Cricetulus griseus: one gene and its partner. The protein of the gene in region 1 purifies or fractionates together with the protein of each later gene. This does not show direct contact. Links are inferred from orthologs where the notes say so. Each region holds a gene or a part of one and is shown on either strand. Other genes may lie near its edges.

Region 1 (4,298 bases):
ATGTAAGAGGAGCAGTCCTCATTGGCTGGAATCTGACATTTAGGAGACTGAATAGAGGTCTTGGGTAGGCTGTCTCTGGGATGAACCTGCCGAGGGAGAGGCTGAGTCAGAATCAAACCTTACTCGAGGAGTTTTAATACCCAGGGGGAAAAAAGTTTAAAGAAGGCCTATTTCAACTTAATTCCCAGGCCCTGGCTCTGGTCACTACACATTTATTCCACAAATACAGAAGCGTGTGCATAGAGTACTAACTTGGCGCCACAGGTCTTAAAACAAGCAAGGTGCGCAACTGGAAGCGCTACCTCCCAAAGCGCCGCCAGATGGCTTTGGAGCTCTAGGCGAGGGATTGATGCCCAGACGTATGAGAACACAGTCCGCACCTCTGGTCTCACAGTGCTCTCAATCTTCCCTTCCACCACCACCAGGCCTGTATCAAAAGGCATCTCCCCGCCCGCGACAGAGCACCACGTGCCGCGCTTCCACCCAGCTCTAGAGCCTCGGGCCCAGCATCCACATCTGGAAAGCAAGAGAGATTTCCCTGGGGTTCGGGTGGGGATGATGTGGGCTGGTTTATTAAAGATGACATCCACAGAGCAAGATCCGTTCTAGAGACTAGGCAAATACCTCTCTCCTCACAATTACATTCTTCATCCTTTAAGTACCTCGCAGAAAGGATCACATTTGGAAAGGGGTGGAGAGATGCCTAAGCTCCCCAGTTGGTACATTCTGGCGTGGCTTGTGCCTGGTGTCAGTTTCCTCATCTGTAAACTGGGAAGGAAGCCCATGCCCAGGGGCCTAGGACTATGGCGAGGTAGAGGATGGTGGTGTCAGGAGACAGGCGCCTCCGCAGGGTGGGGAGCATCTTGTCTTGGTACCCGGAGACCCCCCCCCCCGCCCCCCTCAGCTCCTGGGAAACTCCGCGGCGCAGCTCGGCGCGCAGGGGTGGGGCCCGTGGAGGCGGAGACGCCCGCCTAGCGTCAGCGAACCAGCGCCCGTCTCTCAATGGCCAATGACGAAGCGCCTTACAGCCCAGGCCGCGTCGGGAGTGAGGCAGCGGTGAGTGAGGCGCTGACAGGGACTTGCGGGGGCATCTAGCACAGACCCCCCTGGACCACGCCGCCATCGCAGCCTCCCGCCCAGACCTCTCTCTGCCGCTTCTCCTCGCCATGGAGGCGAGGGCGCCGCCGCCGCCGCCGCGGGGCTTCGAGCAGCGGACCGGGCGGCGGCCCTGAGGGGAGCGGCGGGCCGAGTCGCCGCCACCGCGGTGCTGAGGCGGAGCTGCTGTGCGCGTCCCCCGCGGTCCCGCCCAGCGCCGGGCTCGGTAAGCATTCGCGCCTGCCGCCGTCGGGTGGGCTTGGGAAGGTGGGATGGCCCGGCCGCGCGTGGGAGCCGTCCCTGGATCCTTTCCCGGAGCAGCGCCTCCGGCTTGTGCATCCTGGCACGGTGGACAGGGGGAGGGGGTCCCGGAAACGTGCGGGACACGGACAGGCTGGAACTTTGCGGACGTCCTCCTGGGGCCCGGGCCAGGGCGCTGCCATAGTTCATTCTGAAAGAAAAAAAAAAACTTTGAGCAGCGAGAACGGTATTTGCTCAGGTCCATTTAGTGGGAGGAGAAAGGTGGCTCACGCAGTGATCATTTCTACTCTCTCTTGAAACCCTTCCCTGCTCCTCCTCCCAAGCCCCTCGCTGCCGCCCGATCCCAACTGTTGTGTATGCTTCAGAAGGAAAATATGGACTCAGAGCTGCCCAGAATTCAAAACGAGCCTCTTGGGAACGCATATCTCTTCTGTTTACTTTCAGTAAATCTTAAAAATTGCCGCTTGGGGTAGGGGGCTAACTCCTAATTGTATTTCCTGAAATTAAAAACTACAAAGGCAGAGCTGATCCTGATAGATTCGGGGTTTTGGCGTTGTCAGTGATGATATTTGTAAGACAGGAAAGACAAAAAAGGAATGCTCCAAACCCTCTTAGAGTAATGCCGGCCGAAGCCCTTGGCCAGGAGAGGGAATCCCTTTTGAAAACCAGTCTCATGCCCCCGGATATGGCATCACTTGTTACCTGCTAACTATTGAAGCAGCCAGAGAGCCAAAAGATGGTGGATGAGGATTAACTAGGACAGCTTGGATACTGCTTTCAAAAACATAGATGTGATGCTGTCATTTTCCTTCCCCCATGAGATGAATGGAACCCTAAACGCATTATCATTTTCTACAAGGCTCTTGACAATCTCGCCTGAACTTGATCTTTTATGGTTACCTCGATCCTTGCATTCTCCTTGCTTTCCACCCAGTGTTTAGCCATTCAGAGCTGCTTGCCTGATCCTTCATACTTGGGGAGGTTTTTGCTTTCTGGGTTCCCCTTTCCTCCCACCTTTTCTTGCCATGTTCCAGGTGTTCCTTTAGAGTTCTTTTCATTCGAGAAACTTCTTGAGGACAGGGGCTGTGTCTTCTTCAGGTTTTCCCTGTTAGAATTCTTCCTAGTTATCTTGTAGATTCTTAACTACTTGCCAAGAGGAATGTTTCCTAGTGTTTCCTGAAGGCCTGTTTGGAGTGTGGGTTAGGATCTTCATACTCACTGTCTCTCCATGTCTGTGGCACCCAGCACCCAGAAGTAGTCATCATGGAGAGACTGGTAGGCTTTATATCCTACTTGCTTCTAATCTGCCCTTGAAAGGCCAAAAACTCCTTAGTTACTTTTTACCCCTCTCTGCCCCAAGTGGCCCGAGTTTACTCTGAGGCATGCTTGGATCCAGGAGACTATTCACTGGGTACCTTTTAGCCACTGATTTAGTATGTGGGTGAACACAGAACCAGAAAAGCAAACCCCTTGATTTAGTACATTCATATGTCACCTATTTGCCAGGCAAAGTGCTTGGGATTCAAAATGAAAGTGAGAAAGTCATATTCTTATCTTTGAGAAGATTATAGACCAATGCAGGGCAGGTAGATGGATATAAACAGTTACATCATAGGTGCTATTAGAGCAATAATAATTGCTGTTTTCTATTTGCCTGTGACAGGCTATATAATAAATGCCTTACATGAATTATCTCGCTTAATCTTTTCAATAATTATAAGGGCTCATCAGGACTAGAAATGAGTAGACAGATGAGGAAACAGAATTTGAATTCTGACAATCTCTTTCCAGAGCCTCTGCCTGGGTAGTCTGGGAAGGCTTTCCTGGGAGAAGGTCTTCAAATCCTAAAGGAGACATCCTATAATTTGTATATTATAGACTGCACATATAGGAGAGGGGAGGGAACACAAGCCATCTTGGAGGAACTGGGAAGACGTATAGGTGGACTGGAGGTGAGCTTAGGATCAGAGTGAAGACTTATTTTGTTGTGTTAGGGTTTTGACAATGTTAGAGGCACCAAGAGTCAGGGACTTGGGGAAGTCATTTGGGGGCAATAATGCCCCCAATTGTTACCTGTGCAGTTTAGGAGGTAGTGGCCCGGACCCCCAGAAGTAGAATCACATTCTTTTATACCCAGAGCATGATTATTTCTCTTGAGATAGATTCTTACTCAGTTTGGGGAAAGATAATTAAAGCATTGGAGAGGGAAATTCTAGCATTCAAAAGGGTATGTAGAGGAAGAAAATCTTCCTGTCCTCTTATCTGCTAACTCCTTCCCAAGGATGGCTGAAATGCTGAGCATCTGTGGCTTTCCATAAACCCTACTCCTTTATAAACATGCATCTGCTCCTCTCTCTGTGGCCATACCAGTCACACCTCACTTTTTCTAAATTAGATGTTTAGGAACCCATCCCATATTAACAGAAACTTTTGCTTACTCTTTGAATTGACATTTCTTTTTTAAAAAGTTAGTTAGAAAATGTGTGTGTATGGTTGTTTTACCTGCATAAATGTCTGTGTACAGCTTGCGGACCAAGTACCCTTGCGGGCCAGAAAGGTTGTTGGAGCCCATGGAACCAGAACTATAGACCACTGTGAACTGCCATATGGGTGCAGAGAATTGAACTCAGGTCTTCTTGAAGAACAACCAGTATTCACATTTCTTACTTTGTTATACAGCTGTATAATAAGCTGTTTTGTCTGTACATAGGACTATTATTTGTATTTGTAACTAGTCTTTATGTCAAACATTTATTTCTATGTTTTTCTCTTACAGTAATACAATGAACATCCTTCTGGATATTTAGCTATATGTTTGTATGTACAATTATCTGAACGATGTATTTTAAGAAATGGAACTATCGGATCAAAAGACCTTTGTGTATTTTTTTTTTATTTGTAGACATACCAACAAATTGCCACCTCTTTGAAATAGTGCCATT
Region 2 (4,302 bases), about 26 Mb from region 1:
AGAACACTCTCCGAAAACTCCATAATGAAACCATTGTGCTGGCCATTTCCTCTGAGAGCCCTGGCTGTTACTGTGACCTCAGAGCTAGAGGTAGTTCCAGGTGTGAGGCCGCATAGACAGTTCAAACCTACCTCACCTCTCTCTCCTCTCATGCCAATTCTGAGGATGAGTTGTCCTTACCCATTTTGCAGGTTTTTGGTGTACTGAGCTCAGAAAAATGGCGTGTTCTTGGTCATTTATATATTTGCAAAGAGGTAGAGTTGAGGCCTCAACCCAAGCCCATGGGTCCAAAGTTTGTACTTTGAAGCTTTCCATCGTCTTAGGTTTGGAAACGCCCAATGTCCAGATCTTTCTGTTGAACTTCCAGCAATGGATGTAGTGATACGCTGGCAAATATTTAACAAGCAACTCTCTGGAAGAAAAAGCTAAGGTATGGTTTGTCAAATTTCTCCATTTCCAAGTAGAACATACTTCCTTGGAGGCCGATGCCAGGTGACCAGTCTGACATCACTGAATATGGCCCTGAGAAGGAGGACAGCGGTCCTAAGTGTTTGCAAGCCTCTGAGAACCAGCTCCAGCACCTTACAGGAAGAGTAGCCACCCTTCCCCCAGCCCAGTGTGGCCAGTGAAGGCCATTAGACAAGTCTTTGGCGGGGAAGAGGGCGGAGAAACCTGCTCCTCCAGCCAGGGCCTGCCCAAGGGAGTCCTGGGAAACTGCCGTTAAACTTTAAGCAAGTCTTGCAAACAGGAGTGGCTACTTTGCCTGCTGTTCATGAGGATCCTGAGCAGCCCCGTTCTCTCTTCTGGCTCAGTGGGCTACCCTGGCCACACTTGCACTCAGCAGTGCGGCCTTCAGATCCCAGTCCTGTCCACTCCTACCTACTTCACAACGGGAGGAGGCTGGAACAGGAAACTGATGACTGAACAAACCCTGAGGCACCTGGCCTAGATGTGAACTTAGATCAGCCTGACTCAAAGCTTTGCTCCTTCCTGGCCTGCTGGGACATACATTGTACCCTGAGGCTGGAGCCTCTTATGTTCTGGGAGGATGGGAACCTGCCCTTCAGGAGGGGTCTCCACCAGGAGAAAGCTCAGGCCTGGTGCCACATTAACCTGGTTGGGTCTCAGTTGGCCACCTGTGAGATGGGAGCACTTTCAAGGAAGGAGGATGGAGGCAGATGGTCGGATTCATCTTTCTAGAGGGGAACGGAGGAGTCAGAGGTGGACCCCCTCCCTGGCCCAAGGGGCAGCCCTAGAACCTGGACAGGGACTGGCGTTTGTGAGGGGTGGTCTTTGAGACCAACCTGAAACCACATCCCGCCCCCTTATCCCATTTTCCTTCTCTACTTCCTGTTTGGCTGATCCTGCTGTCCTCAGTGGCTGACTACCTGCATACTTCCCAGCAGATGTACGTGGTCTCTGCATGCGCTGAAAATGAATTTAGGGCTGGCCTGATGCTTGCAGTCCCTGCCCTCCATAGGCAGAAGCTGGAGCCTCCCACAAGTTCAAGGCCAGCCTGTGTCACATAGTGAGCCACTGTTTCGCCTCTTGATACATTTTAATAAAGCTGCCTCTCTCCTCCTCACTCTGCCCCTCTGGTCCCAGTCTCTGGTTAAAGACAATCAGGTCAAAGCTGGTGTGGCCAGTTGCCTCAGTTTCCGTGTCTGGAAGATAGTGCTAGCCATCGGTGCGTAGCTCAGGTAGCTAGGTTGGTCCGGGGCGAGAGGGCGCCCCCGCGGGTGGAGCTGCGGGGAGGGGGCTGGGTGCGGGAGGCGCGGGGCCCGGCTCGCACAGCAGGTCCCCCGGGTCGCCGGCGGGGCCCGGGTCCGCGCTTCCTTCTTTCTCCGGCTCGCATCGGCCGCGGCCCCTCCTCCCGCGCGCTCCCTCCCCCTCGCCGCTGCCGCCGCCGCCGCCGCCTCCTCCCTTTCTCTAGGTCTGTCTCTCCCGGCCCGGAATCCACCCGGCCGCCCCGCCGGAGCGGCCAGGCCGCCGCCCGCCAGCGCTGCGCGCCCCGCTGGGGTCCGCCCGGGCGCGTCCGGAGCCCGCGGCCGCGCCGCAGGTGAGCGCCCCCGCCCCGCCAGCCCCGCGCCCCGCTGCGGGCTCCCGCCCTGCCCACTCCCCGCCGCGGCCCGCGACCTGCCCGGCGCGGCCTTTTGTTGGGATGCGCGGGGGAGGCCGGGCGGGGCGCGGGGGGCACCGGCGCGTGGGGACCCTCGGCCGCAGAGTCCCCAGCCCGGCTAGGCCACATCTGAAAACCCGGCCGATCGGCGCCGCCCGCGATCGCGGCTGCGGGGCCCTGCGCCCCCGGCCCGGAGTGGGGGTTGGGGGTGGGGTGGGCGCTGGGGACTGGGCTCCCTGGTGGCCACGCGACCTCCTTGGGTCTCCGGGCCTCGGTTAGGGCCTGGTGCTGTTGGCCTGGCGGAGACTGGGCCACTCTGTCCTCCCCTCACCCCCGCCAGCCCCCAGCCTCGCCCCTCCTCGGGCCCAGCGACCTGCCGGCTCCGAAGTTGGCAAAAGTTTTGGTGTTTCAGTACCACTACTAGGTCCACTTGCCCACCCGGGCAGGTACTGGAGGTGAGTTTGTGTCCCCACTAGAACCACCACTTGTCATGCTGTGTGTCTTGGAGACAACTGCCTTAGCTCTCTGAGCCAAGGCCCTTCTCAGTGATGGGTAGACGGCCAGGACTGCTAGGCTGGTTGAAGAGTGGAGTGGACAGAGGGGACTTTTCCCTGGGTAACCCCTAAACCTCTAAGGTATTCAGAGGGAGAAAAGTGGACAGAGACGTGTGAGGCTTATGAGGCCCTAAACAAGGTCTTCCCTGACTCACAAACTGTGTGAGCAATGGTGATGGGTTCACCTGGGTGGAAGTCAGATTCAGTTTCCAAGGTGGGCATGGGGGCGGGGCGCGTGCGGGGGTGGGGCGGGGCGGGCGGGGATGGGGCTCTTTCCAGACTTTTGAGTCCAAGCATCAAAGTCTCTTGTTTTCCTGGGTGATCTGAGCTGGGGGCTGCTCCTTGGATCCTTCACAGCAGTGACAGGGTCCTCAGGTGATTACTCCCTGTGCTTCTGGCAGCTAAGGAGTTGGCATGCATGGGGTGGGGTGTCAATAAATGAGTTCCACCCTGGAGCCTGCACAAGATGACTGGGGTGCTTGTGGCACAGCTGCCTGCAGGAGAGGGTAACTGTGTCTCGAAGGGTGCCCTAGAGCCTCAATATCCGAGCACCCTCCTGTGGCCCACAGCTGTGTGAATATAGTCAGCTCTGGGTTCCTTTTGCCTCAGTCTTGTCAGAAAGGAATGATCAATCAGATTGTGAAGGCACTCAGTGGTAGAGCACAGGCTTCGCATGCCCAAGGCCCTGGTGCTAGCCTTGGCACTACAGGACGGACAGATAAATCAGGTGGAGCCATGATGATCAGAGCTGTTGAGGTTCACTGAACTCCTCCTGGGGCTAGCTCAGTCTGCAGCTGGAACTGGAACTTAGACTTCAGAGGAGCTGGCTGGCTGCCCTTTAACCTGCAGTGACAGTGAAGGCTGTATAGTTTGGGGTCAGGAACAAGGCATTGTTGGAAAAAGACTCCTCCCATATCACCCCCACCTGGCAGAGCCATAAGGCCCTGCTGGAGATGGGGTGTGTCCCGGTGAGGTGGCCTTTCCACAAGGGGAAGTGACTTATAGTGTGTCACCTCTCAGCTGACTGCTTGTATCCTGGGGTACACACTGAGAATGAGTGTTAGGGGCACGCCCCATCTCATGTTCATCCTTGTTCTTCCAGCCTTAGGGCAACCCTATCTCTCCCACCCAATCCTCTTCTGTTTCCTGTCGTGTCCCTTTCCCCAGCCCCCCACCAGCCTCCAGCTTATAGGCTGCCTCCTGCTTGGGCTTTTACCCCATTCTCATCTGACAGTAGGGGTGGGAATGGAGCATGTCTGGGTCCTCTAAGTCCCAGGATCTAAGGAGGACTGGCTAAATGGTTTTTGTCCCTGTTATCCACCTGGTCCTCGGCTGTCTTTGATCGTACATTGAGCACTTACTATGCACTAGGGCCTGTGAACTTTGTTGAGCAGCTTTGTGGTAGGAGGACGACAGCTTCCTGAAGGAGGAGCTTGAGCTGGAGCAAGCAGTGGCCAGCTAGCCAAGAGTGCAGCTGGACCAGTGTTCTTCCCCTCTGCTCAGAAGGTCATCTGCCTGGGGACTTGCTGGGAAATTGTGAACAGGTCCTTGGCTTCTAGAAACTGGAGTAAGGCGGATAAGCCAAGTGGCCAGATAAATGAATATATAATCATGGCTGTGATAAGGGCA

What was found.
Region 2: the proteins of Ptpra (region 1) and Src purify together in Homo sapiens (co-immunoprecipitation; 4 studies listed by BioGRID and IntAct, with this or other methods). This does not show direct contact. The link is inferred for Cricetulus griseus from reciprocal best matches to the Homo sapiens genes PTPRA and SRC.

The regions. Positions count from the first base shown.
Region 1 is NC_048599.1:48,155,409-48,159,706, reverse strand, and holds the start of Ptpra (receptor-type tyrosine-protein phosphatase alpha), read left to right. Parts: upstream 1-1,198; 5' UTR 1,199-1,321; intron 1,322-4,298. UniProt on the Homo sapiens protein: Tyrosine protein phosphatase which is involved in integrin-mediated focal adhesion formation.
Region 2 is NC_048599.1:22,117,622-22,121,923, reverse strand, and holds the start of Src (proto-oncogene tyrosine-protein kinase Src), read left to right. Parts: upstream 1-1,453; 5' UTR 1,454-1,687; intron 1,688-2,444; exon of another isoform or gene 2,445-2,574; intron 2,575-4,302. UniProt on the Homo sapiens protein: Non-receptor protein tyrosine kinase which is activated following engagement of many different classes of cellular receptors including immune response receptors, integrins and other adhesion receptors, receptor protein tyrosine kinases, G protein-coupled receptors as well as cytokine receptors.